Linked DNA regions of Mus musculus. The protein of the gene in region 1 interacts with the protein of each later gene in a biochemical or structural test. Links are inferred from orthologs where the notes say so. Each region holds a gene or a part of one and is shown in the gene's direction. Other genes may lie near its edges. The genes, in order: Magi3, Pten, Ctnnb1, Adrb2, Crhr1, Rps6ka1 and Adrb1.

Evidence for each region.
Region 2: the proteins of Magi3 (region 1) and Pten form a complex in vitro, tested with the Homo sapiens proteins (2 studies listed by BioGRID and IntAct, with this or other methods). The link is inferred for Mus musculus from reciprocal best matches to the Homo sapiens genes MAGI3 and PTEN.
Region 3: the proteins of Magi3 (region 1) and Ctnnb1 form a complex in vitro, tested with the Homo sapiens proteins (2 studies listed by BioGRID and IntAct, with this or other methods). The link is inferred for Mus musculus from reciprocal best matches to the Homo sapiens genes MAGI3 and CTNNB1.
Region 4: the proteins of Magi3 (region 1) and Adrb2 form a complex in vitro, tested with the Homo sapiens proteins (2 studies listed by IntAct, with this or other methods). The link is inferred for Mus musculus from reciprocal best matches to the Homo sapiens genes MAGI3 and ADRB2.
Region 5: the proteins of Magi3 (region 1) and Crhr1 form a complex in vitro, tested with the Homo sapiens proteins (2 studies listed by BioGRID and IntAct, with this or other methods). The link is inferred for Mus musculus from reciprocal best matches to the Homo sapiens genes MAGI3 and CRHR1.
Region 6: the proteins of Magi3 (region 1) and Rps6ka1 interact in a test that uses a peptide from one of them, tested with the Homo sapiens proteins (2 studies listed by BioGRID and IntAct). The link is inferred for Mus musculus from reciprocal best matches to the Homo sapiens genes MAGI3 and RPS6KA1.
Region 7: the proteins of Magi3 (region 1) and Adrb1 interact in a test that uses a peptide from one of them, tested with the Homo sapiens proteins (2 studies listed by IntAct, with this or other methods). The link is inferred for Mus musculus from reciprocal best matches to the Homo sapiens genes MAGI3 and ADRB1.

Annotation. Positions count from the first base shown.
Region 1 is NC_000069.6:104,087,907-104,091,406, reverse strand, and holds part of Magi3 (membrane-associated guanylate kinase, WW and PDZ domain-containing protein 3), read left to right. Parts: intron 1-1,738; coding exon 1,739-1,948; intron 1,949-3,500.
Region 2 is NC_000085.6:32,813,077-32,816,576, forward strand, and holds part of Pten (phosphatidylinositol 3,4,5-trisphosphate 3-phosphatase and dual-specificity protein phosphatase PTEN), read left to right. Parts: intron 1-2,340; coding exon 2,341-2,507; intron 2,508-3,500. UniProt on the Homo sapiens protein: Dual-specificity protein phosphatase, dephosphorylating tyrosine-, serine- and threonine-phosphorylated proteins.
Region 3 is NC_000075.6:120,950,400-120,953,899, forward strand, and holds part of Ctnnb1 (catenin beta-1), read left to right. Parts: intron 1-122; coding exon 123-350; intron 351-494; coding exon 495-748; intron 749-867; coding exon 868-1,106; intron 1,107-1,186; coding exon 1,187-1,388; intron 1,389-2,459; coding exon 2,460-2,604; intron 2,605-3,500. UniProt on the Homo sapiens protein: Key downstream component of the canonical Wnt signaling pathway.
Region 4 is NC_000084.6:62,177,213-62,181,479, reverse strand, and holds Adrb2 (beta-2 adrenergic receptor), read left to right. Parts: upstream 1-1,498; 5' UTR 1,499-1,727; coding exon 1,728-2,984; 3' UTR 2,985-3,767; downstream 3,768-4,267. Other genes in the region: Gm9949 (uncharacterized protein LOC225609), read right to left, coding at 877-1,435. UniProt on the Homo sapiens protein: Beta-adrenergic receptors mediate the catecholamine-induced activation of adenylate cyclase through the action of G proteins. The beta-2-adrenergic receptor binds epinephrine with an approximately 30-fold greater affinity than it does norepinephrine.
Region 5 is NC_000077.6:104,131,281-104,135,580, forward strand, and holds the start of Crhr1 (corticotropin-releasing factor receptor 1 isoform 1 precursor), read left to right. Parts: upstream 1-1,500; 5' UTR 1,501-1,791; coding exon 1,792-1,824; intron 1,825-4,300.
Region 6 is NC_000070.6:133,863,798-133,867,297, reverse strand, and holds part of Rps6ka1 (ribosomal protein S6 kinase alpha-1), read left to right. Parts: intron 1-68; coding exon 69-175; intron 176-898; coding exon 899-936; intron 937-1,392; coding exon 1,393-1,535; intron 1,536-1,866; coding exon 1,867-1,937; intron 1,938-2,184; coding exon 2,185-2,273; intron 2,274-3,227; coding exon 3,228-3,292; intron 3,293-3,500. UniProt on the Homo sapiens protein: Serine/threonine-protein kinase that acts downstream of ERK (MAPK1/ERK2 and MAPK3/ERK1) signaling and mediates mitogenic and stress-induced activation of the transcription factors CREB1, ETV1/ER81 and NR4A1/NUR77, regulates translation through RPS6 and EIF4B phosphorylation, and mediates cellular proliferation, survival, and differentiation by modulating mTOR signaling and repressing pro-apoptotic function of BAD and DAPK1.
Region 7 is NC_000085.6:56,720,624-56,724,916, forward strand, and holds the start of Adrb1 (beta-1 adrenergic receptor), read left to right. Parts: upstream 1-1,493; 5' UTR 1,494-1,748; coding exon 1,749-3,149; 3' UTR 3,150-4,293. UniProt on the Homo sapiens protein: Beta-adrenergic receptors mediate the catecholamine-induced activation of adenylate cyclase through the action of G proteins. This receptor binds epinephrine and norepinephrine with approximately equal affinity.

The DNA of each region.
Region 1 (3,500 bases):
TTGTAGACATTTTATGAATGGTAGTAAGCTACCATGTGGGTGCTAGGAATTGAACCTGGGTCTTGAGCAAGAGAAGCAATTGCTTTTAACTGCTGAGCCATCTCCCCAGCCCTGGGAAGGCCTTTTTAAAAGAAGGGCACTATTTAAAAAATTATTAGGAAACCCCCAAACCTATCTGTGACTAGATAGCAATTTGTACTCTGCATTTTCCCTTAACTTTTCCTTAAGTATATGTTAATTTTTCTACATTTAGTTAACTGAGAATTTACAGTAAAATGTAGTTCTGTTGATACTATCATTCCCTAAAACACATGTACTTGTTTCTATTTTGGGTGATCCAAATCCTTGATAGTGTGACTACTGAGCTTTAAAACGGGAAAATAGCTGGGTATGGTACTGTCTGTCTTTAATTCCAGAAGAGGCACTGGCAGATAAATCTCTGTGGTTTGAGAATAGCCTGGGTATACAAGTGAGTTCCAACACAGCCAAGGCTACACAGTGAGTTTCTGTCTATACAATATGATAAAATGGGGAAAAATTGAGATTATGGTACATCTTTTCCCCCAGCCAAACTCTGCTTACAGTATTAAGTGTTTTGCTCGGAAGATAATGAATTAGCTTTTCCCTTGCATCTTCATATGCAGGTCAGAGAATTGACAGAAAGTCTACTTTGTTTTCATTCAAATCTCTGTACCCATCTATATGGCAACCCCCTTCAAATATGTGTTTGAAAACCAAGAAATAATTGAGTTTGACTTTTTGAATATTGATAATTGTACTTATAGTCAAACATACACAGATTTCACTGTAATGTTTTCTCCTTCTAACATGTGGATTTAGAGTATACTATTTATTTCTAGATTTGTCTTAGTGTTATGTAGCCTAACATGATTTTTTTCTATCTAGGGAAAAATGACCAATTTTTTAAAAATTTCCATTATGTCAATCTGTATCTTAATTATCTCTTTTAGAACTGAACAGTTTGATTAAAAGTGTGATATTTTATAAGCACAATAATAAAAGGTGAAAATGTTTTATTCTTAAATTAGATTTAGCTTTTTATAACAGTAACATAATAATTGATATAAAGTCGAAAGGAGTGGGAACAGTGATTGTTGAGACAGCTAGACTCCTGAACACTTTCCCATGGTGCCTGCCTGCTCAGTACAAGCTGCATAACAAACTGAAGGTTATTTCATTTGTTTTTATTCTTACCTTGACCAAGTACTGGTACTGGAAAAATCAAAGATCCTCAGAAAAACACATTAAACTATCGCTTGCTTTTCTGAGTGTATACTAGTATAGAACTTGATATATAATGGCTCTTCAATAAATTGTCAGGTAATATAATTCAAGTGTGCAGAAAGCTTTTTAAAATTACACAACAGCTTATATTCCTATATGAAATAGTTCTTAGCCTTTGTATATATCCTCATTTTAGTAAAATAATTCATTTTATACATTAGAATAAAATTATTTCATTTTATATACCTTTTGTGTCTTTCATTATTTCATAAGAGAATCAATGCTTTTATATTTCCAAATTCAGCCCTAATTCAGAAACTTTATAAAACAAAATTAAAATATGAGCAGTTTTAGTATGATAGCTAACGTATGACAAGATATGAGAAATTAGTCATACAGAATGCTTTGTTTGGCCTTTTAGTCAGTGACAGAGGCATTCTTTAAGCTTGGTCAGCATTCGTACTTTCAGCTGCCATCATTTTGTACACCACAGGAAATTTCTATGGCACACCCAAGCCTCCAGCAGAGCCTAGTCCTTTCCAGCCCGATCCAGTTGATCAGGTCCTCTTTGACAATGAGTTTGACACAGAATCCCAAAGAAAAAGAACCACATCTGTCAGCAAGATGGAAAGGATGGACAGCTCTCTCCCTGAAGAAGAAGAAGATGAGGACAAAGAAGCTGTTAATGGCAGCGGAAGCATGGGTTTGTAAACATATTAACAACTTCTGATTGGTCTTAGATTGGCTTTAATCTTGAATTGAAATCCTAAAGATTTTCTTGAACTATATGCAGAGCAGGTGCTAGGATTCTAATTCTCTATGAAAGCTGTGTGGAACAATGTATATTTCTGTGGGTCATCTTGTAAACTAATATAAGTTAGCAATAGTAAGCTGTCATTAATGATGTGGCATCACCTTATCTGAAATACTTGTAATGCTGGGATACGGGAATCTTTCTGGCATAGTTCTACTTCCCAGGATTAAAACAAAATTGGTTTTTTAATACAGCCTTCAACCCAAAGCACATAGACTTTGGAGGTATGTCAGAAGAAATTATCTGAAAAGTTCATTAGCAATATTTTTAATTTAAATTCTGGATCTACTCAAAGATAATTTGCAAATAAAATTGATATTTTTTGTATCTTTTGCTTAACTTTCATATTTCTCACTGAATTAAAATAAAAATGTGAGGGTGAAGAATCTACTCTGAGTGTCCCTGAATAAATTTGTAATGTCCAGGAGGTCCTTACATTTAATTGAGAGAGGACTGGGAAGCCAGACCTTAAAAAGATGGACATTAGTGTTATTTTTGTAGCCATTTTCTTTGGAATACTAGTATGTGAATTCTCTGAATACTGGAATTTTGGGGAGGTTAAGTTTTCATCACTGTATCTACTACACCAAGAACAGTACCTGGCATATAGAAGGAAGTAAATGTTTATCCTGTCTTTGGATTTGCAGCCTATCTCTATATGATCCCAAAACATTTTCAATTTCCCTCATCACTTATTAAAATTTCCCTTGTATATACCTATTGCCTTATATGATCATTGTTTATTTCCCCCTACAGATAGCGAGATCCGGCTATTGTTTTAACTTCTCAGTACTTATGTTTAGTGTTAAATGAGTTAGCCAGTGTATTTAGGTGTCAAGACAAAAATTGTTTTTTAAAAGGTTTAGTCATTTGGAATTACATCAAGAAAATAGTATATATAGATCATTTAGTTGGTGTCTTAGGGTTTCTATTCCTGCACAAACATCATGACCAAAAAGCAAGTTGGGGAGGAAAAGGTTTATTCAGCTTACACCTCCACATTGCTGTTCATCACCAAAGGAAGTCAGGACTGGAACTCGAGCAGGTCAGAAAGCAGGAGCTGATGCAGAGGCCATGGAGGGATGTTCTTTACTGGCTTGCTTTCTTATAGAATCAAGACTACCAGCCCAGAAATGGTCCCACCCACAAGGGGTGGGACTAATGGAGCAAATGCCTTACAGCTGTATCTCATGGAGGCATTTCCCCAACTGAAGCTCCTTTCTCTGTGATAACTCCAGCTGTGTCCAGTTGACACAAAACCAGCCGGTACAGTTGGTATGGCTTTTGTCTGGGCTACTTTTTTATTTTCCCCAGATGTAACTCACTTCCAGATTGACGTCTACATTGGATACCTTTACATCTTTATTACATATTCTGCAAGGAAAATAAACTAGGAATTTTATTCATTTGTTCATTTAACAAATAGTTATTGAACGTCTGG
Region 2 (3,500 bases), on another chromosome or scaffold:
ATATAGAGCTGTAAAGGCGGTATGGAGGCAATACGGAAAAGCTCTGCTCAGGAATCTCACTAGGTACTGACTTTTTGTCAGCTCTACTTTGCTTATTGATTAAACTGCTGTTGGGCTTTTAGTCGGACAACATTATGTTTGCATCTCTACGCTTAAAAAATATTGACTACTAAATTCTTTTTAATCTTTAAAAATTTCTAGTTACTTATTTATGTGCTGGGATTTAACACTATATGTTGAAGTTATATTAAAATAAAGCTCATGAGATTCATATGTATAAATTATAACTGCCATGTTCACAAAAGGTTTTGGAAACAATTTCATGAAGAAAGTCGGTCACTGGAGAACACATGCAGTTTGGATTGGCATTGAGTGTGAAGGAAATATTACAGGCAGTAGAAATAAGGTGACCGAAACACAGCAGAAGAACTGGACGAGAAATAGAAGATGTGATTGGCTGTCACAGGATCTTGAATGGGATGTAATAGACTTGGACTATTGGTGTCACGATAATTCTAGGAACTTCAGCTGTGTTTTAAGGACAGGCCCATGTTGTATAGACAGTTGTGATGTAGGAGGGGTAGTACAGCCAGCTCTGTGACTTGGCAGATGTTGCTAGAGCGATGGAATGTACTTTGTTTGGATTTTCTTTAGTTGTTCATACCCAGAGTGCATTTGAGATTTGGAGATATAAATATTATCACTTTGCTTTTAAGTTATTTTAAATCTGATGAGATCAAGGTACTTGTGAGGATCTGCAGTGGGGCTGCAGCTCTGTCTTGGTGGTGTAGTGTTTTTCTCAAGCTAGAGTGCAGGATTGCCTTCAGTCTCCAGCCCGAGGAGGAGGAGGCATGAGTGAAACAGACAGAACTAGTGATAAAAGGTTTAGTGTCTTCTGCAGAGGGACCAGGAAGTGTTTGCCAAGCGTTTGTCTTATTACCTTACTTTTTCTACGTGAAGAGAAGTTGCTGTATAATAAAAATGATCAGTTTGCTTTTGTGTCAGGATGCACTCTCATCCTTGTTTTTGTCAAGTCCAGATCCTGTCATTTCTTCAGAACATAGTTAATTAACATAGCATATATTTCAGATGTGCATCTCAGAAGTCAAGAGGACTGTACTAATATTAGAATATTGATGTTAGAACTTCCATCCCTCCTGCTGGGCGTGGTGGCACACACCTTTAATCCCAGCACTTGGGAGACAGAGGCAGGCGGATTTCTGAGTTCGAGGCCAGTCTGGTCTACAAAGTGAGTTCCAGGACAGCCAGAGCTATACAGAGAAATCCTGTCTCGAAAGACCACCAAAAACAAAAACAAAAAAGAAACAAACACACAAACAAAAAAAACAATTTCCAACTCAATGGGAAACTCATGGTCTATAGGAGGTCGTTTTGTCTCAGTGGTCTTAGAAAAAGCTGCTGTTTTTTCATTACTGTACACTACAGCTGGGGACATTGTCAAGGAAAGATGCCATGACAAGGCAATTCTTATAAAAGAGTTAATTGGGACTTGCTTACACTTTCAGAGGATTTGTCCATTATCAACCTATCAGGAAGCATGGTGGCACACAGGCAGATACGCTGAGAGTTCTACATCCAGAGGCTGGCAGCCTCTACCTCCTGAGTGCCAGCACTTTTAAAAGCACGGGCTACCATCACCCAGCTATACATGTTTTTTATTTTTTTAAACATATTATTTTTATTAATTCCTTGAGAATTTCAGATAAGCATTCAGTGTATCTTGATGTAACTCATTTCCTACTTCTCCCAACAGCCTTGTCTAGTTCCAGGACAGCCAGGGCTAACTAAACAAAGAAACTCTGTCTTAAAATGCCAAAACCAACAAACAAAAACTTGTGAACTGGAGGTCAAAAGAAAGATGATCAGTATTGTATATTTCTATATTATAAAGGCTTAGGTTTACATCGTTTATTAAAATATTCTTGTAAAGTTGCCTCTATGCAGTTCACAAAAGTCCCAGGAAATTGTTAAAGTTATTTTATGCTTAAAGTAGTTTGTGATGTGTCTTTTGCATGTTAATGTAAAGCTTTAATTGTTAATATGCTGCTAGAGTCTAGTCTTAGAACTTACTGTTTGTGAAGTAGCAATTGATTATCATATCTGTAATAGAACTTTACTTAAGGATTCAGATTGAAGAAGTCCTTACATGGGTTGGTTATGTTTTTACATATTTTATTTCTACTGATTTGTTTTAGATAAGCAGTCAATATGAAGAGTTATCATTTTGTGTATATTTCTGTTTATTTTATCATTAAAGTAGTTTTTGATAAGTTGAAGACATTTCTTGTGAAATGATCCTATATGTATTTAACCACACAGATCCTCAGTTTGTGGTCTGCCAGCTAAAGGTGAAGATATATTCCTCCAATTCAGGACCCACGCGGCGGGAGGACAAGTTCATGTACTTTGAGTTCCCTCAGCCATTGCCTGTGTGTGGTGATATCAAAGTAGAGTTCTTCCACAAACAGAACAAGATGCTCAAAAAGGTTTGCAATTCAGTTCTATTGTGTAGAAATAGCCATTCCTCAATGAGTAACCACAGACCTTTTGCTTAAAGCCTTTGGTTAGGAAATTATTCTGTAAGGAGAGACTATTTCTCTGCCATCTACCAAACTGATTACTCTTTTGTTAGATTGGCAGACTCTTCATTTCTGTGGCATTGATGAGACATGTAAGCAGACTCACCTGCCCCGACCCTTAGTTTGTTGGCTTTTTTGGTTTGTTCTATGTTCTTATGTTGCACAAGCCATGTTTTACCCATTTGGGTTTATGTTTCTTGAGAGTAGACTATTTTATATTTTGTTTCCCCAGGTTACTGAGTATTTAGTCAGTACTGAGTATTTAGTCAGTACTGAGTATTTAGTCAGTATTACTTAGTTGAAAGAAGTGGTTGTGAAGAAGTAATAGTAATTAAAAAAAAAAAAAAAAACATACCAAAAAACAAAAGGGTGGAAACAGCTAAGCATATCCTCTGTCCAGGGTTGCTGGGGCTTGAGATACACTTGGGAGGAGGAGAGAGCTCAGGTGCAGTGTCCTTGGTGTGAACATTTATCCTTGGTGGCTTTAGTACCCTTAGTTGAATGTGAACATTAAAATGAGTCTTAAGGTGTAGAAGTTTTAGCTGGATCAGAAGAAGATACCAGTTTTGTGCAGAATCAATTCCCGTGAAGCACATAGAGCAGTACATAGTCCGGAAGGGGGTTTTATAAAAAGCAGTAAAAGGAGAGCTTACTTACTATAAAACCTTGCAATGTCAGATCAATTTATCAGGAGAGATAATTTCTTTTTTCTAGGATCTACATAGCTAAAGAAGAAAAAAAATCACAAAGTTAACCAAATTAATGTTTTTATCATGGACCTCTCATGAAACAAAAAAGCTAAATATAAATATCTTTGAGTTACTGGTTTTTTTGTTTATTTTCTGAGACCACAATAAATGTGAGCAAACATTTCAAAAATTAGGTATTTGGAAGGCTTTA
Region 3 (3,500 bases), on another chromosome or scaffold:
GCTCATACTGACCCTCACCTGCTCTCCTTGGCTGCCTTTCTAACAGTATTTCAATGGGTCATTGTCGTAGATGGCTTCTTCAGGTAGCATTTTCAGTTCACTAACATACTCTGTTTTTACAGCTGACCTGATGGAGTTGGACATGGCCATGGAGCCGGACAGAAAAGCTGCTGTCAGCCACTGGCAGCAGCAGTCTTACTTGGATTCTGGAATCCATTCTGGTGCCACCACCACAGCTCCTTCCCTGAGTGGCAAGGGCAACCCTGAGGAAGAAGATGTTGACACCTCCCAAGTCCTTTATGAATGGGAGCAAGGCTTTTCCCAGTCCTTCACGCAAGAGCAAGTAGCTGGTAAAGCATTTGTGTTTGGAAGCTAGCATTAAGTTTCTTGACAGGGCTGTGTGACAGCTCAGCCACAGCACAAGTGGGTTGAAGGAAGGGCGGAGGGTAGCGGAGTCCCACATGCCTAGTGAGTGTTGGATTTACCTTTTTCAGATATTGACGGGCAGTATGCAATGACTAGGGCTCAGAGGGTCCGAGCTGCCATGTTCCCTGAGACGCTAGATGAGGGCATGCAGATCCCATCCACGCAGTTTGACGCTGCTCATCCCACTAATGTCCAGCGCTTGGCTGAACCATCACAGATGTTGAAACATGCAGTTGTCAATTTGATTAACTATCAGGATGACGCGGAACTTGCCACACGTGCAATTCCTGAGCTGACAAAACTGCTAAACGATGAGGACCAGGTAAGCAGTGATGTAACTTGCTTTTCAGTTTACTTTGAGGGAAGTTCTCAAGGGGATGCCAATGGCTGCCTCACACTAAGTTTTGGAAACTAATGGTGCCTCTTCATCCTTTATTCTAGGTGGTAGTTAATAAAGCTGCTGTTATGGTCCATCAGCTTTCCAAAAAGGAAGCTTCCAGACATGCCATCATGCGCTCCCCTCAGATGGTGTCTGCCATTGTACGCACCATGCAGAATACAAATGATGTAGAGACAGCTCGTTGTACTGCTGGGACTCTGCACAACCTTTCTCACCACCGCGAGGGCTTGCTGGCCATCTTTAAGTCTGGTGGCATCCCAGCGCTGGTGAAAATGCTTGGGTAAGAGAATGGCCAGGGAACTTGAAGGGTAGGAAGTAGAAGGGTGCTGGCATGGCTAACAAAGGCTCTCCTCTTCCCAGGTCACCAGTGGATTCTGTACTGTTCTACGCCATCACGACACTGCATAATCTCCTGCTCCATCAGGAAGGAGCTAAAATGGCAGTGCGCCTAGCTGGTGGACTGCAGAAAATGGTTGCTTTGCTCAACAAAACAAACGTGAAATTCTTGGCTATTACAACAGACTGCCTTCAGATCTTAGCTTATGGCAATCAAGAGAGCAAGGTAGAGTGATGAAAGTTGTTTGTACAGAGTGTGGAGTTACTAAGTTCTTAGTATGCATGTGCGCGCGCGCGCGCACACACACACAGGCTCAAAGATTTGTGTCTTTAGACATTGAATCTGTGTGTACAGTACGGTGCTAAGCATTGAAGGGATGGGGAGCAGGCCTCATAAGTTTACACTTGGGCAGAGAGGAGGGGCTGGATAGACAGAGGACATGGTGTTTTGAGGTCTTGTGGCAATCTTTGAGAAGAAGTGAGGTGTTACCTAGGAGGAGGCAGTGAGAGGATGCCGTCCACAGTCCCGAGGAGGAAGAGGGATGGTGTGCTGGAGACACAGTGTTAGAGTTGGGCTAAGGCTGGGCCGGGTGGATCCTGTGAGGCTTTCTTTGTTGGCCATACCAAAGTCCAGGAGATAAGATCTTAAACACAGGCATGGGGTGAGACCTGCCTATGGAAATGTTCAAGGACCTTAAGGGTGAGGGAGTGGATATTCTGCAGTGTCTCCTAAGGCAAGTAACATAGAAGCTCAGAGTCAGAAGCTAGGGGCTCTTAGTGCCCATTTTCAACTGGCTGTTTCGACAGAACTTTGATCACTTCTACAAGCAACCCTGCTTGCTTTTCATGGTGTTTTCCTCTGTGTTTATTGTGGAGAGGTAGCCAGAGTTTTGTTTTATTTTTTAGTGATTTTTTTTCATACATTGTTGTTTCGCCTGCATGTATGTCTGTATGTCTGAGGGTGTTAGTTCCACTGGGACTGGATTTGCAGACAGTTATGAGCTGCTGCTGAGACTTGAACCTGGGTCTGCTGGAAGAGTAGCCAGCACTCTTTAACAGCTGAGCCATCGCTCTAGCTCGAGGTGGTGTATTCTTGAGAAAGGTGGTGTGCCTGGATTTGAGCAGAATTGTAGCACAGGAGTCACATACCTGGGACCCCACTTGGAGACTGTGGATCAGAAGGGTCCAGAGAGATACATTTAATTGCAAGCTGGCTAAAGTTCTTACATGTCCGGTAACTCAGTGATGAATGGCACTGTTCTCTAGCCTCATGACTTACAGTTCCATCTCTCTCTAGCTCATCATTCTGGCCAGTGGTGGACCCCAAGCCTTAGTAAACATAATGAGGACCTACACTTATGAGAAGCTTCTGTGGACCACAAGCAGAGTGCTGAAGGTGCTGTCTGTCTGCTCTAGCAACAAGCCGGCCATTGTAGAAGCTGGTGAGTACACACATTCTGAGATCACTCACAGTACTTGTTTGCTTGCCCCATGTTACTTAAATTTTTTTGTCAGAGACAACAAAAACACCCTGCTCCATAAAGCTTGTTTCTGACTTTGATTCTGGTAAAGGTGAGGCTGGGCCTCACTAGCAGCCCTGTGAATCTAGACAACAGCTTAGTACCAGAGAAGTGGTTTCGTTTGGTTTGAGGTTTGTTGTTAAGGTGTTCTCCCCAGTGATAGAAGAGAAAATACATGGTTTATGTCCAGGCTTCCTTTCAGTAAGCAACTAATATCTGCCTAGGCTTCAGAACCAAGTAGAAGCGGAAAATGATGAAGGCATCATGTAGAGGACGGTGCTGAGGGTGAGACACAGGGTTGTAGCAACCAACCATCTTTGGGCCGTTGGGAACACTTCAGGTTACTGAGGTAGTTGCTAACAGAAACCATGGGCCTGAGAGAGACACATGGTGGCTTGTTTAAATGTAAAGTTTATAGATTGATAAAGTCCATAGGTAGCCGGGATAGTTGGAAATGGATGTGTGTGGATGCCCGAGGTCATTCTGATATGGATGTGTTTATCTTGAATATATATACTTGAAGCAGTGTAATTGATACCATTACCATGCATCCGTCTGTAGAGCAGTGGGGAACTGGTTCCTACTGTGTCTTGTGAAGATGAGCACAACACACAAAGGCAGGTGCTGAGCTCAGTGCATAGGCCTGGAGCCCCAGCCTTAAGCAGGGGCAGAGTCGAGGTCTGGGACTTCCTGGGTATTAGCAAGGCCTTGTCTCAGAATAGAACAGAGGAATGTTACGACAGGAGTGGACAGCACAAAACAATGACAGCTACTGAGGAGGCCGTCCCAGAAAAGGAGTGCTGCATAGCACTTCGGGG
Region 4 (4,267 bases), on another chromosome or scaffold:
TTAGTCTTGTTCTGAATTTTTTTAATGGGAAGGAACAACTATCCTCAACTATCCTTTTTTTTCTGTAGTTTTAAAATGAACTCCACAAAACATGTTTTTAATATAGGGAATTATATGAAATTGTGGGGTGGGCAGCGAGGTTAAAGGCAGAAATAGCCCAATGGTGGCACATTCACTGACACAGCCTAAAAGATTAGCAAATTACCCAGCCAACACATACAATTAATACAATTAATATTTTTATAGTTAAAACAGAGTTACTAAAGAAATTGTTTGAAAAGAAAATTATGAAGACTGGAAAGACGGCTCAGTGCTTAAGAGCTTTGGCTAGTCTTCCAGAGAACCAGGGTTCAATTCCCAGCACTCACAAAGGCAGCTTGTGAGCTGATACTATCTGTATATTCAGTCCTAGGGAATCTGATGCTTTGTCCTGACCTCCAAAACAGGCACAAATGTGGTGCACAGACAAATGTAGAGATAAGACTCCCATGCACAGAACATAAATAATGTAGTTTAATTTTTTAAATTGTAAAACTGAAAATGGTTGCACTTGCATTTTTATTTTCAGCACATCCCCAGATATCCGCCATATAACAAGAAAATGATGCCACACTCCCAAGAATTAAGAATTACACCTTCCCAACCCTACCCAAATGTGTATACTTCTAGGTCTAAAGAAATGCGAAGGATGAAGTTACTGCCTTGGTGCGGTTCTCAAGGAGGGAGGATGCCAAAAAAATATTTTTTCACAAAGTGTGCTGAGAAACTCTGTAGCTGTTGGAGTCATCTCCTGTGCTCTTGCCAAATAACTGAAAGGGGATACACTGGATGTCTGTGAATGGGGTGTCACTTATGAGTGCTAGAAGCGGGTGGTACCTGGATGTGGACACCGGTGTCTGAGTGGTCCGCACTCCATGTCTCCACAGGAGCGCTTATGTGTGTTTCTTTCCTCCTGCTTCTGGGTGTTCCTGGGTTTGTTTACAGCCACCTCTCTGTTGGACCAGGAGACAGCTGTCATCTCCAGAATGAGCGGGCGCGGGTGTGTCTCCGTGGCTGTGGCTGTGGTTCGGCATAAGTCTGAGCATGTCCTGGTCGTCAGGGTGCGTTTGTGCCTGTGTGTGCGTGTCCGGGTGAGCTTGCTCTTTCTGTTCCTAAAAGAAAACGCACCCTGCGCTACTGGCGTCCAGAGACCTCTCAGCCCGCACAGGTGACCTGAACGGACAGGTAGCACCTCCAGACAGCGCCTGGTTGGCGGGTTGCACAGCAGCCCTAGATTTCTCTCTCTGGTGCCCCAGCTAGGGTAGCTGGAAGGGAGCGGTGGCCTGGCCTCCGGGGAGCCGCTGGGCCCCGCCCGGGCTAACCCCAGGAGGAGGCGGGCTAGGCTGGGAGGGTTGGCCCTTGGTGCCTCGCCCCTCCGGGCATCCGGCCGTGCCATTGGCCCAAAGTTGTTGCACGTCACTGGGCAATTCCCCTAAAGTCTGGTGCACATAACGGGCAGGGCGCACTGCAAGGCTGCTTCTCAGGCATTCAGGCTGCGGCTGCAGGCACCGCGAGCCCGGAGCACCCACGAGCTGAGTGTGCAGGACGCACCCCAGCACAGCCACCTACGGCCGCTGAATGAAGCTTCCAGGAGTCCGCCCCCGGCCGGCTGCGCCCCGTCGGAGGTGCACCCGCTGAGAGCGCCTGGGCACCGAAAGCCGGTGCGCTCACCTGCTAACCTGCCAGCCATGGGGCCACACGGGAACGACAGCGACTTCTTGCTGGCACCCAACGGAAGCCGAGCGCCAGACCACGACGTCACTCAGGAACGGGACGAAGCGTGGGTTGTGGGCATGGCCATCCTCATGTCGGTTATCGTCCTGGCCATCGTGTTTGGCAACGTGCTGGTCATCACAGCCATTGCCAAGTTCGAGCGACTACAAACCGTCACCAACTACTTCATAATCTCCTTGGCGTGTGCTGATCTAGTCATGGGCCTAGCGGTGGTGCCGTTTGGGGCCAGTCACATCCTTATGAAAATGTGGAATTTTGGCAACTTCTGGTGCGAGTTCTGGACTTCCATTGATGTGTTGTGCGTCACAGCCAGCATCGAGACCCTGTGCGTGATTGCAGTGGATCGCTATGTTGCTATCACATCGCCCTTCAAGTACCAGAGCCTGCTGACCAAGAATAAGGCCCGAGTGGTCATCCTGATGGTATGGATTGTATCTGGCCTTACCTCCTTTTTGCCTATCCAGATGCACTGGTACCGTGCCACCCACAAGAAAGCTATCGATTGTTACACCGAGGAGACTTGCTGTGACTTCTTCACGAACCAGGCCTACGCCATCGCGTCCTCGATTGTGTCTTTCTACGTGCCCCTGGTGGTGATGGTCTTTGTCTATTCCCGGGTCTTCCAGGTGGCCAAAAGGCAGCTGCAGAAGATAGACAAATCTGAAGGAAGATTCCACGCCCAAAACCTCAGCCAGGTGGAGCAGGATGGGCGGAGCGGCCACGGACTCCGAAGGTCCTCCAAGTTCTGCTTGAAAGAGCACAAAGCCCTCAAGACTTTAGGCATCATCATGGGCACATTCACCCTCTGCTGGCTGCCCTTCTTCATTGTCAATATCGTGCACGTTATCAGGGACAACCTCATCCCTAAGGAAGTTTACATCCTCCTTAACTGGTTGGGCTACGTCAACTCTGCCTTCAATCCTCTTATCTACTGTCGGAGTCCAGATTTCAGGATTGCCTTTCAAGAGCTTCTGTGCCTTCGCAGGTCTTCTTCGAAAACCTATGGGAACGGCTACTCTAGCAATAGCAACGGCAGAACGGACTACACAGGGGAGCCAAACACTTGTCAGCTGGGGCAGGAGAGAGAACAGGAACTGCTGTGTGAGGATCCCCCAGGCATGGAAGGCTTTGTGAACTGTCAAGGTACTGTGCCTAGCCTTAGCGTTGACTCCCAAGGAAGGAACTGTAGTACAAATGACTCGCCACTGTAATACAGGCTTTCTACTCTCTAAGACCCCTCCTTGACAGGACACTAACCAGACTATTTAACTTGAGTGTAATAACTTTAGAATAAAATTGTATAGAGATTTGCAGAAGGGGAGGCACATCCTTCTGCCTTTTTTTAAATTTTATTTTATTTTTTAAGCTGCAAACAAGAGAGAGAAACTGTATTTGAGTGCTTATTGTTTTCTTGTATAGTTCAGTTCCTCTTTGTATGGAACTTAAAGGTTTCTGTCTGAAGAGTGTTGGTTCTGGAGGACTGAGTCTGTCTGTCTGTCTGTCTGGATGATGTTTTCATGTATCTACCTCACTGGTCAAGTATTAAGAATGATATATATTGCTGCTGGAAATCCATATCTAAAGGAGAGAGTTTTCTTCCTGTACCCTTGGACTTGAAATATCCTGTGTCTTGGACCTTTCTGCTGTGACAATGGGCCCTTTCTCTCTCACTCCACTTATTTACTCAAATGGAGTGTTGCAGGCAGGGATTTGAGGGACAACATCAGTTGTTTTGTTTTTGTTTTTGTTTTTGTTTTTTTGTTTGTTTGGTTCGTTTTTGGTTTGTTGTTGTTTTTTGGGGTTTTGTTTTTGTTTTTGTTTTTTTGGGTTTTTTTTTTTTTTTTGCTGAGAAAAGTCTAAAGTTTACAGTAAATAAATTGTTTAACCATGACTTCATTGCACCCGTTTCTTCAAAACCTCTTGACTCTGGAGTGTCCTTGTCTCTCCCACTGGAAACCACAGGTAAACTATGTGTCGTGACCGATGAGTGGCTTAATGTGTAAGAGTACCAGAATGGCATGCACCGTGCCTAGCCCTTCCGTGTGTGTCTTCGGAGCTCCAGATGCAAACCTGTGCCTTCCCTAACTTCACTCGTGTCCCAAAGCAGTCCTGCCTGTTCACAGCATAACCCAGTATGTCCTACAGTTGCTCTTCTGTGCTGTCACTCCAGAAACCCTGACTCACGGAAACAGAGTTATGGGCATATGTTTTTGTCCCCATATGCTCCTGACACCCACCTTCCAGCCTTACTTGCTTAATAACTGTGTATATTTACATCACTGCCGTCTCTTACAGTAGTGCCCTTTGTACTGCATCAGGGCTTGGTGTGTTCAGGATGAGGAAGATGTTCTGTGTAATAGCTGTTCAAGCATCTAGAAATTCTGAGGGAAATCAAAGGCCTCGGTCAGAGAGAGAGAGAGAGCAAAGCTTTAAAAAACATAGCTGGTGAATGCTTCACGCCCTTCAGCCTCTCCTCGCTCCCGTCTGCTGTCCC
Region 5 (4,300 bases), on another chromosome or scaffold:
GAACTGAAGACTTCAGGACTTTGCTTCACTGAACTGTGCATGCACAATGGCTAAGCCAATGTGACCAGTGGGTTTAATCAATGATCCGCCCGACTCTGCACCCCTACCCCATCCGAGCCAAGACCGCCAGGGACACTGAGTTGGGAATTAGGAAGGAGGGTGCCAACTGTGGGGATTTGGACAATCCACGCTCCCCTGTGCCTCAGTTTCCTCACTAGTAAACTGTCACATGACCTACAGCAACTCCAGCTCCAAAATGACTATTGCCTGGGCCTCTAAGCTGTGGATCTTGTCCAGTGTGCTGAGAACACAATGTAAGGAAGGGGAGTTGCACAAAGTAGTGTCCAGAGTCGCCAAGCTCCGCTACATTTTAAAATAAGCTGGTTCCCCCACTAGGACCTTGCCTCTCTCTTTGTGCTTCTGTGTACTCAAGATGGAGACCCGGACCTGAGAGGTGAAGATGTTTCTACCCCGACACTCCTTTTCTCCTTCTCTATCTCTCGCTGGGGAAGGAAAGGGGGATGGGGGAAGGAAATCAAAAGAACAATCCACCTAACTGGCCTGAAGGTGGCGAGAGCTGGTTTTAAGGCTGGAAGTGGAATTAGAAAGCCAACCTAGACGAAGACCCGGAGGTCTGGCGGGACAGCCCGCTCCAGCCCCGAGAGCTTGGCCAAGAGGGGGCGCTGTGGCCCCCTCCACGCCCTTCGGGCTGGATTCCCAGCTGCGTCCACAGCGTTGCGGCGCAATGCGCGCCCTGCTTTCCCCTCCTTACAGACTAGGTGCCCAGTCCGCTGTCACCACTTATCTTGGGGCCTGGACCAAAAAGACAGACGTTCAGTTCCAAAAACGAATGAATGAATGAGTGAACGAACGAACGAAGGATTCAAAAAGGAAGGGTTCCCGCCGCAGAGCATCAGTGTCCCAGCACATCCTAGGTGTGTTTAGGCCAAAGGCGCGCGGATCGGGAGGGGGATTCGGGCCCGGCCTCCCCTCCCCACTAAATTGGGGGCGGAGGTGAACCTCCTGGATGGCTGCAGGGCGGGAACCACCCAAATGTAGTTCTCAGCTTCTTTTTCCACGCAGGCTGAGTTTTGTGGAAATCGCCCTATTCCCCAGCGCCTACTAGCCTTCTAAATCCCGCCCCCCGAGCCCCACAAGTACCCCGGGATCCCCCGGACTCTTTTGGTCCGGACATCCAGCCTCACAGGAGGCTAGAGAAGAAAGGCTGCCTGCTCTCCAGCAGCCGCCTCCCGGATCCCCGGTTTTTCCCTAGCTGCGGTGGCAGCCGCCGCCGCCTGTGCGCCCCGCGCACTGCCGCAAGCCGGGGTGCGGGGAGAGGGGGTTCAGCACGGCCAGGGTGCGGGGATCCGGGCCGGGGTTGGGCAGTGGACCGAGGAGACCGGAGCCTGCAGCCAGCGGAGGGGCGAGGAGCGGAGGAGGGACAGGAGGGGAGCGGAGGGAGAAAGAGGAGGGGACACGAGGCGAGGGGGCGGGGAGCAGAGGCGAGAGGCAGGCGGACCGTGGGGGAGGCGACCGGGCTAGGCGGGATCCAGGCAGGAGAGAGGTAGCTGTGGGCCCAGCTGAGTGGGGAGAAGGCGACCAGACTTGCTCGCGCAGGGCGAGCCAGAGCCTGCCGGTGGGGCGGGGCGGGAGGGTGCGAAGCCGGGCGCCTGGGAGCAGCTCAGCGACCCGGGAGACTGGCCGCCCAACGGAGACCGCAGCCGCCCGCTCTTCGCTCTGGGATGTCGGAGCGATCCTGGCATCCAGGACGCTGACAGAGCGAGCCCGAGGATGGGACAGCGCCCGCAGCTCCGGCTCGTGAAGGTAAGAGAGGACCGACCTCCGGGTAATCAGAGGCGCTCCGGGCCGAACGAGCGCGGGACAGGCGTGGGCAGGGGTGCCGGAGGAGAGGATCGGGGAACCCGGCGCCACCCGGGAGGTTGGGGTTCAACCTGACGTCCTCTACCTGGACCTCTAAAGCCGGGCTTCGGAGACAGAGGGACAACTCTGGTGGAAAAAGAATGGGTGATGGTGAAACCGCTGCGGCGCCAGAGGAGGAGGGGGTCCGCCCACTCGAAGAACCGGCTTTGCGCGAAGAATCGCTGCAATCTTTGGGGCCGAAGCGCCATCCCCCTTAAGGCTCTGGATGGGATCCTGTCCCTGCTGGACACCCTCCGAGCCGGCCCTGTCCCGGTCTCAGGCGCTCTTTCCTGCCGGTTTTCCTCCGTAGAAAGCTTCAGATTCCGGAGATAGATGCGGCCCGCGAGTCGCGGCCCTTCATCGACTTAGCATCTCTGAGAGGCGATGGTGCGCGCACCCCAGTGTCCGGCCGATCCTCCGGGGTGCCACAGCCCCCCGGAGCGCAACGCATTCTCTCACTGGGCTCGCTCCTGCCACCGGGCTGGAGAAGCGGAGTTTCAGAAAGTCTTCAGAAGGCGTTTACAGTGCCTACTGGCTAAAGTTGGGGGCGATCTGGGGCTGCGCGGGGGTGGACAGAGCCCGGGAAGAGCTAGGTGCTTCGCAGCCAGGCCCGCAGCCTAAGGACAGGCGCCACTTCGCCGGCGCGTCCCGGAGCGCGCGCGCTCACTGGGTACCAGCACCTCAGCCCTGGTGCTGGAGAAGGTGAGTGGGCCTGGCGCTGCCGCCCGGCAGCCCCAATTGCCATGCCTGGGTCTCCGGACCGCTCAGGGCTGACATGGACCTCCTGAACCACAAGCCGAAGCACCGGGTTAACTGTGGCCAGGAAAGGCGATTGCGTTCAAAAGATCTAAGTGGTTGGGAGGAGCAGTGCGAATTGACTGGCTTTGATTTTTCCGTCAGTTATTAAGCCGACTGCTTTTACTTGTTCGAAAAGCATTTGAGTTAAACCACCACGCGTTTAAAATGTCCCCCCTCTCCACATACTCAAAGGTTGTCTTCAAATCTAAGGGAGTCTCAGTGAACCTAAGGGCTGGAGCCAGAGATTATTTTTGGGGTGACCAAAGTCTTCTACAAAGAAGTTAGGGAGACTCTTGGAGGTTGTATAGATAAGCAGCAATGGAGGTCTTTTCCCAAGGATTCCTGTGTACTGAGCCTTGATCTAAATTCACAGGGGTTAAAAATGAAGCCTCTTAAGCAAATTCAAAAATTTGGGCTGTGGATATTTTTTTTTTCAAGTTTACATGGAAATCAATGAAGGTTCTTTCTGAGGCCATTCTTAGAACCGTGTGAAATGACCTGTTTGGCATGTTCACAGTTTCTTAAGATAAAAGGTACTTTTTTTTCCTCTTGTTCCTACTGGCTAGTGGGAGTTGGGGGACTTGTCTTACATGATACATTCAGCGTGTGCCCAGGAAATGGGGAGTGAGAGTCGGTGACTGTGATATTTGTGTGGTCTGTACACATTTCCCAGTGTTAGTCTCGTTGCTTTATAAATATTAAGTCATGTAGTCGTCATAATAGTCCAAGAAGTAAGAATTATATCCTAGGCATAGAGGATTGAGCCTACTTGTTCAGAAAGCGGCACCATGAGCTTGTCAGTCAGCAAGCCTGACCGTGCCCTTAGCGCCTGCACACAGATTTCAAACCCAGTACTCCAAGCCTAAGACTCTGTTTTGTTAAATTCAAACTTAAATCTCATGCTTAGTGCCTACCAGCTGAGAATCTGAGCGTTTCATCAGTTTGAACATATGAATCTAGGGAACTTGGAGATCGTGCAAAAACCAGCTCTTTCACTGATGATTGGCAGGCAAGCTATGCTTGGAAAAGGGTCACTCGGGGGCTATAGTGTGCATTTCTCATTGAACTTGTTATAGAACATTGTGGGAGAGTGCAAGAAAGATGAGGAGTGTGTGTGCATGGGTGTGGAGTGTGTGTGTGTGTGTGTGTGTGTGTGTGTGTGTGTGTGTGTGTGGTGTTTATGGATAAGTATAGAGAGGAGAGTTAGTCCCTCTTCTTATGACCCATCCACTAACTGCTCTTCCTAGGGACATATCTAATGCTCTGGTGATAGGTAATTCTGGATAGTGACTGTGTGGAGTGAACTAGGCCCCTGTGTCTTCTTAAAGGACAATGAGTGTCCAGTGACTTCCAGGGAGGCCAGTTTTATTGCTGCTGTTATTGTTTATAGCAATTTAGAAGCATTAGGCAAAGTCTAAAGCAGAGGAGAAAATGGCTGTGACTTCCCTCTTTACACGGTGCTGTGACAAGTTGAATAACGATCCCTGCAGGTCCCATGTTTAAGAACAGGTCTGGGCATTGCTGTGACCATCAGACAGCTCTCTCCCTTGCTGTGTCAGAGCCCCAGTCTTGTCCCATGCCA
Region 6 (3,500 bases), on another chromosome or scaffold:
CTGCTCAGTAGGCCAGCTCCTGGGGAACGGGGTAAGCCAGCTGACGGGTGTGTCTTTCCCTGTTGCAGGTCATGTTTACAGAGGAGGATGTGAAGTTTTACCTGGCTGAGCTGGCACTGGGCCTGGACCACCTGCACAGCTTGGGCATTATTTACAGAGACCTCAAGCCTGAGAAGTGAGCAAAGCCCCTGCCATACTGCTGATCTCTCCTGGGCACAGGGACTGCTCTTGGGCCCTTTTAGAACAGGGCCATTTGGGAGATGCTGTGGCGCTCCCAGGAATTTATCTCTCTTTGGGGCTGTCAAGAGGGATGGGTGGTTGTCGCAGGTTGTGGCCAACAGCAGGTTCACTTTAGGTAATTAGGAATTGCCTGGTCGGTACTGCTATTACTAAAGGCTGCAGCCCAGCTGTGGCCCTACTCCATTCCCCTTCCTTTTGGTTTTTCGAGACAAGTGCTTTAATCCCAAGTGCTGGGAATAAAGGCCTGCGTTACTATCACCCAGCTCTAAAGATCATCTCTCCATCCGCTTATCCTGGGGGTTTCGCATGCACTGCCTTCCGGTGCTGTGTTGAGAGCTGGGATAGATTCTGGTGGTAGAGTTAGACACACCCCAAGTCAGGCATTGCGGTACTCAACTGTAGTACCAGCTGCTAAAGAGGCCGAGTCCAGGAGTTCGAAGCCAGCCTGTACAATGTAGTAGAATTGAAAGAAAGACAAGTTCCCTAGCCATTCTAAAGGAGTTACTTTCCCGAGCTTCCATCCTTCCACTTTTCCTTGAGTAGAGTTGGACCAAACCCTTCTTCTGGTCAGGCCCAAGTCTCTCCACCCCAAGGTTACTGCTAGAACCTGCACAGTGCCTGCAGCTAAGGATTCCTGACTCCTGTCTCTCTGTTACAGTATCCTTTTGGATGAGGAGGGCCACATCAAACTCACTGGTGAGTGAAGGGCACCTGCTCCTTTGGGCTCTGGGGAGGATAACCAGGCTCTGTCTGATAGGTCTCAGCTGATGGCTGTGTTTCCTGGGAGACGATGCCAGTTACATACATGCCAAAAACCTAGGCCTTGTTACTTAGTTATTTTTTGTGTGTGTATGGGAGTTTTGCCTATATTTGTATCTGTACCTCATGCATGTGTTGCCCAAAGAGGCTAGAGTTGCCTGCACCTGGTTGTTAACCATCGTGTGGGAGCTGGGAATGGAACCTGGGTTGTCTGGAAGAACAGCCAATATTCTTAACTGCTGAGCCATCTCTCGAGGCTCCCTAGGTCTCAGAGCAGACTGAGCTCTCACTGACAACCTTGGTGATACCTGGCTCCGGTCAGAGGAGCTAAGTGTGGTAGCCGTGGGCGTGGCAGGGATCCTAGAAGTGACTTCTCTGCCCTCCATGCTGCAGACTTTGGCCTGAGCAAGGAGGCCATAGACCATGAGAAGAAGGCTTACTCCTTCTGCGGGACAGTGGAGTACATGGCGCCCGAGGTTGTCAACCGCCAGGGTCACACCCACAGTGCAGACTGGTGGTCCTATGGGGTGCTGATGGTGAGTGTCCGGGCTCTGCTGCACACTGTTGTACTTTGTTTCCCTCGAAGAGCCGCGGGCTTTAGTCCACCTGCCTGAAGTACCACCCCTCACCTAACTTGGGAACTCTCCTCTGCTTCCTTCCTCTGGCTTTAGTGCTGCTCCTGGGTTCTAGGTTGGGAGGGGGGCAGAGGCAGGCACAGGCCTTGCTGCAGCTAGACTTAGACTGTAAAGTCTTAACAGGCCAGCAAGAATCCCCGGACTGCAGCAGGGTAGCCCGGGAAGGAGGGGGAGGGATGTGTGGGAGACAGAGAACAAGGCCACACCTATATGTTTCCTTTTCCCCCCGAAGTTTGAGATGCTGACGGGCTCCCTGCCCTTCCAGGGGAAGGACCGGAAGGAGACCATGACCTTGATTTTGAAGTAAGCACCAACACTGCCTGGCCCTCCAAGTTCTCCCTAATCCCACCCCAGTTGCAGGGCCAGTGAATTGCTTTTTCCCTGTCTGCAGACCCTTGCTGTCTGCCAGGGCCAGTGGGAAGTGTTCTTAATGTCTCTGGGAGGTGAGTTAGTGGCTGGCTTCTCTGGACTGAGCTGGAAAAGAGAAAGGGAAGGGGCTCTGGGACTCCTGGGTGGGGCTCAGCCCTGATGAGACCTGTGGCTGTTCCAGGGCGAAGCTAGGCATGCCCCAGTTTCTGAGCACGGAAGCCCAGAGCCTCCTGCGGGCCCTGTTCAAGAGGAATCCTGCCAATCGGCTTGGTAAGCAACCCCAGCTCAGAGGAGGGGACATGGCGGTGAGGATCAGGGTACAGCTGCAGCCTAGGCCACGGGGCCACATCTAGGACTGAAAGGAGCTGTTGTCCTTTGTGTGAGCAGACAATGCTGCTGGCCACCCTATTTTCTGGTTCCATGTATGGTGCTGGGAGGGTGACCTGTGTGGGGGGAAGGCAGGAACTGAGTCATTCATACCCCCTCAGGGACAAGGACACAGGCCCCCACACAGCTTCTCTGCCAAGGTTGCTGGCTCAAGGGAAGGCGCAGGAGCTTAGGAGCGAGAAAGGTCTCAGGCCTAGCTGTGTCTGTCCCCGCTGCCCGGCACCCAGCAGTACTGTAAACATTTGCTGAGGGATTGAATACGGTTTATGAGCCTGCGCTATGGCAGGGGACCCCACCTTTCCGAGCCCCAGGTTCCTGTGTCAGTGGAGACACTGATTCTGCCCTGGCTCCCGGGGATCTTTGATGAGAGAAGGACATTCCTGTTGTTCAGTGAAGTATACAGTATTTGCCGAGGTTTTTGGATGCTGGCTTTATCTGGATCACAACCAGCTAAGGTCCAGTCCAGGTCCCTGGGTTGAATCGAATGAGCGTTTGTCTCAGGGATAAAGACGAGAGGCAGTAGGAAAAGAAGGGCAGAGAGGAGGGGGGCCTGTGGCGGGAGTGGATGAAGGCCCTTGTTAGATCTCAAAAGAAGTCAGTCCAGCTTCTGTCAGGATTAATGCTTGGACAGGCTTCCCGTCCTGCCTGGCCCCTCCTTCCTCAGTACACCAGCAGAAGCTCCGTAACATAGGAAATACTGAGCGGGCTCCAGGCTTCAGGGTAGTGGGTACTGACGCAGGACATGGTGAACCCCTGCTGCCCTCCACGGTAGCAGCTGGTCCAGAGCCTGGAAGACAGAATGGGTGTCTGAGGTTGGCTTCATTTGGCTTCTTTCAGGCTCGGGCCCTGATGGGGCAGAGGAAATTAAGAGACATATCTTCTACTCCACCATTGACTGGAATGTGAGTGCCCGTGCCTGTGCCCTGTGATGGACGCAGGAAGGGTGGGGGAGGGGCCCCTGCCAACCGTGGCCTCAGCTGTGGGAGGTAGAAGGTGAGCAGCCCTTAACATGCCCTTGGAGGGGTGACTTCACGCCCTTGAAGGCTGCTCTCCCTTGCTGTTATCCACTGAGCAGCATAGCTTCTACTCTTCCTGTCGGGGCTGCTAGCA
Region 7 (4,293 bases), on another chromosome or scaffold:
CAGCTTGGCCACATGTTGATGTTCCTCCCAGATGCTAATCTTTTTATTCCAATGCAAGAAGGACTCGGGAGCATTACATAACATTATATAACACTACCGTGCACCCTTCCCTTCTGAGACAATTGGGAACTGTTCGCTTCTCAAGAACTTAATTACAGATTTCCTTTTTACGGCCTGAGGTAGAGGCATTCCCAGGGGTAGATCAGAGGACCTCAGCCCGAGGTCCCATCCTCTGTTCGCATCAGGAATGAAGCCAAAGACTCTAGTTTCGGATTCTCTCGACAATGTGAAGCGAGGAAATGTGGTATGACTTTAAATGCTTTCAGATTTAATCGCCTTGAGTATGTATATATTTTCTTCCCTCATCTTCCCAAAGCTAATCCCACAGTTTTGAGAATCTAGCCACCCTCCCAAGAAATCTGAAATCCCAGTTCATGACGTCAACCCAAAAGGGATAGCACCTTGTGTTGGCTCAGCTCAGATTGCAAAATCCCATGGGTAACGGAGCACAGATGCGGATGTTAAGGTGTTGGTACTGGAGTCAAAAAGTCTGAAGCGTCATTCTCCGTGTTCTTTCCACGAGGGGCGTGGGGGTGGGGCGACGTCATTTACCCTGGACTGAATGTTGCCCTAAACTTCTCCTTTATATTCAGAACTCTTTCATCCTTTTCTTTAGCTGGGACTGGGGCCTGTGTGTGTATCCGACTGGTCCTCGGTGTTGGCAGTTACATCCACAAACCTTCCCTTCCTTTCCCCATCTACTGCACTTGAAGGAGAGAGCACAGCTCCGCGCGAGAACAGCGCCCAGAGAGCCTTTCTGACAGATGCGTACCCTGCTCCAGCAACCCGCCTGGCTGCAAAGTTTCCTCTAATCACTAACACCCACTTCCTATTCCCCCAAGCTGTCATGCTGGCCAGGTCCCCTCGCGATCAGGGAAGAGCCAGGCTGCCTGATGGCAGAACCCCAGTCTCACAGCTAAATTCCTCCAATCCCAGCAGATAGGCTGTCCAAGGCACTCCTGCGTCTCCGAGACGCCTGTAAGGTTCTCTTATAGCTACCAGGAACCGGGCACTAGAGGCGAGGGAACTACGGGGTGCCGAAGGGAAATAAGGGCGCTCTTGCGGGAGCGGCAAAAGGAGAGCTGGGTGCTAAGGTTAACGGAGACTACTGGTTGGCGGGGGGCACAGGAGGCGGCGGGGCGCCGCAGGGGGCGCCGCAGACTAGACTCTGGAAGAAGCCTGAGCAGGAAAGGGCGCGCTCGCTGCAGCCCGTGGGTGCTGGCTGCGTAGTCCGCCCGCAATCTTTGGAGCCTTTCAATCGCGGGTAGGAGGGGGTGCTGGGTGTTGGGGGTGGGGGCACCATTGTCGGGGGCGTGCCTTGGCGGCGATTGGCTGCGGGAGCCTGACGCGCGGCCCCGGGGGCTGGCTGGGGGGGTGGCAGCGAAGGGGGGGGGGGAGGTGCTGGGTGTTGGAGCCGCCGGCCCCGCGCGCTCAGAAACATGCTGAGGTCCCGGCGGCTCTTCCAGCAGCGACAGCGGCTCCAGCAGCAGCGGCGGCGGCGGCGGCGGAGACAGCGCTCGGCTACGGAGGAGAAGGCGCCCGGCGTCCATGCCTCCGGCCCCGAGCCGCGGCTGCCCTGACCTGGCCGCGACCTCCCCGCGCGGGCCCCGCAGCCCCGGCTCCTGGGGTGCTCCCCAGGCGCGGCCCAGCCCCGCCACACCCCCCGCCCCCGGCCTCCGCAGCTCGGCATGGGCGCGGGGGCGCTCGCCCTGGGCGCCTCCGAACCCTGCAACCTGTCGTCCGCCGCGCCGCTGCCCGACGGTGCGGCCACCGCGGCGCGGCTGCTGGTGCTCGCGTCGCCTCCCGCCTCGCTGCTGCCTCCAGCCAGCGAGGGCTCAGCGCCGCTGTCGCAGCAGTGGACCGCGGGTATGGGCCTACTGCTGGCGCTCATCGTTCTGCTCATCGTGGTGGGTAACGTGCTGGTGATCGTGGCCATCGCCAAGACCCCGCGGCTGCAGACGCTCACCAACCTCTTCATCATGTCCCTGGCCAGCGCTGATCTGGTCATGGGATTGCTGGTGGTGCCTTTCGGGGCCACCATCGTGGTGTGGGGCCGCTGGGAGTACGGCTCCTTCTTCTGCGAGCTCTGGACTTCGGTAGATGTGCTGTGTGTGACGGCCAGCATTGAGACCCTGTGTGTCATCGCCCTGGACCGCTACCTCGCCATCACGTCGCCCTTTCGCTACCAGAGTTTGCTGACGCGCGCGCGAGCGCGGGCCCTCGTGTGCACAGTGTGGGCCATCTCGGCGTTGGTGTCCTTCCTGCCCATCCTCATGCACTGGTGGCGGGCCGAGAGCGACGAAGCGCGCCGCTGCTACAACGACCCCAAGTGCTGCGATTTCGTCACCAACAGGGCCTACGCCATCGCCTCGTCCGTCGTCTCCTTCTACGTGCCCCTGTGCATCATGGCCTTCGTGTACCTGCGGGTGTTCCGCGAGGCCCAAAAACAGGTAAAGAAGATCGACAGCTGCGAGCGCCGCTTCCTCGGCGGCCCAGCCCGGCCGCCCTCGCCTGAGCCCTCGCCGTCACCTGGGCCACCGCGCCCCGCAGACTCGCTGGCCAACGGGCGCTCCAGCAAGCGGCGGCCGTCGCGCCTCGTGGCTCTGCGCGAGCAGAAGGCGCTCAAGACACTGGGCATCATCATGGGTGTGTTCACGCTCTGCTGGCTGCCCTTCTTCCTGGCCAACGTGGTGAAGGCTTTCCACCGCGACCTGGTGCCGGATCGCCTCTTCGTCTTCTTCAACTGGCTGGGCTACGCCAACTCGGCCTTCAACCCCATCATCTACTGCCGCAGCCCCGACTTCCGCAAGGCTTTCCAGCGCCTGCTCTGCTGCGCGCGCCGGGCCGCCTGCAGACGCCGCGCAGCCCACGGGGACCGGCCGCGCGCCTCCGGCTGCCTGGCGAGAGCTGGGCCGCCGCCGTCCCCCGGAGCTCCCTCGGACGACGACGACGACGACGCCGGGACCACCCCACCGGCGCGCCTGCTGGAGCCCTGGACCGGCTGCAACGGCGGGACAACCACTGTGGACAGCGATTCGAGCCTGGACGAGCCGGGGCGCCAGGGCTTCTCCTCGGAGTCCAAGGTGTAGAGAGCCAGGCTCTCTGGGCGCACGGACGCCGCTCCCCATAGTCCCGGGCTGGACACGGGCTCTGCATCCCTAGAGGAAGAGAGCCCGCCTGGGCGCCCCTGAGCCGCTCCCCAGGGGAGAGAGGAGATCTCTGTTTACTCAAGACCGAAAGCAGGTGAATGCAAAGCCCACAGATCTATCGAATCATCCGAGACGTACAGAAAAGCCCCGGACCGAGCGTTTGCGCAAAAAGGAAAGTTTAGGAGGAGTTGGGAGAGTGTGGCTTAGTATGGCTTACTGGCTTGTCTTGAGTTCCTTTCTCTCTGAGGTTCGGCCTTTCGTGTGTTTAATGCACCTTCAGGCATTCCCCCCCCCCCCCGCCCCTAGGTGGGTTTTGACACTTTCTGCAAGGACCCGAGTGGAAACTAGGCGGGGAGGGGAGGGGGCAGGATGGAGTCTATCACCTGGCTTTCCGGTTCCACACCTAGGAACCTAAGTATTCAGCTCAGGTTTGGTGTGGGGGCGGGGCCGGTGATAATTAGCCAGGAAGTGTTTCCCTTTGCTTTCTAAAGAAATTGCATACTAATTCCGGAGTACTGGTGTCTCCTGTTCTTAAAGCAAAGGGAAAAGAAGGATGCGAAACAGACAAATCTGGTTTCGAGAAACTATGTGTGGAGCACGGTTCACCTTGCTTTCTCCTAGAGGGCAAACCTTGTGCCCTGCGCGCCTCGGTGGTCCTGCTGTGGGTCCTCTACCTCACTCTGTGCATATTGCACAGCAAGATAGAAAGACTTGTTTATATTAAACAGCTTATTTATGTATCAATACTAGTTGGAAGGACCAGGCGCTGAGTCTCTCTCTGTGACATGTGACTCTGTCAACTAAAGATAGGACAGAACAAAAAGGAAACAGTTGAGATTATTGCACATGTGGCTAAAAACAAAGACGGCAAAAAAAAAAAAAAAAGGCAGTGGTTGGAAGGCCATTTTGCACAGTGTTAGGCATTGTAAAATTCATAGAAGTTGTTAACTTGCACAAAAAAAATTAAATATTTTTACTGGGATGGGGAGGTGGGCAGATCTTTAAAAAGCTAAAATAAAATTCAAACTCAGTTTCTCTTGTCTATTATGTTATTGAGTTGATGGTTTATTGGGAAGTTACTTTT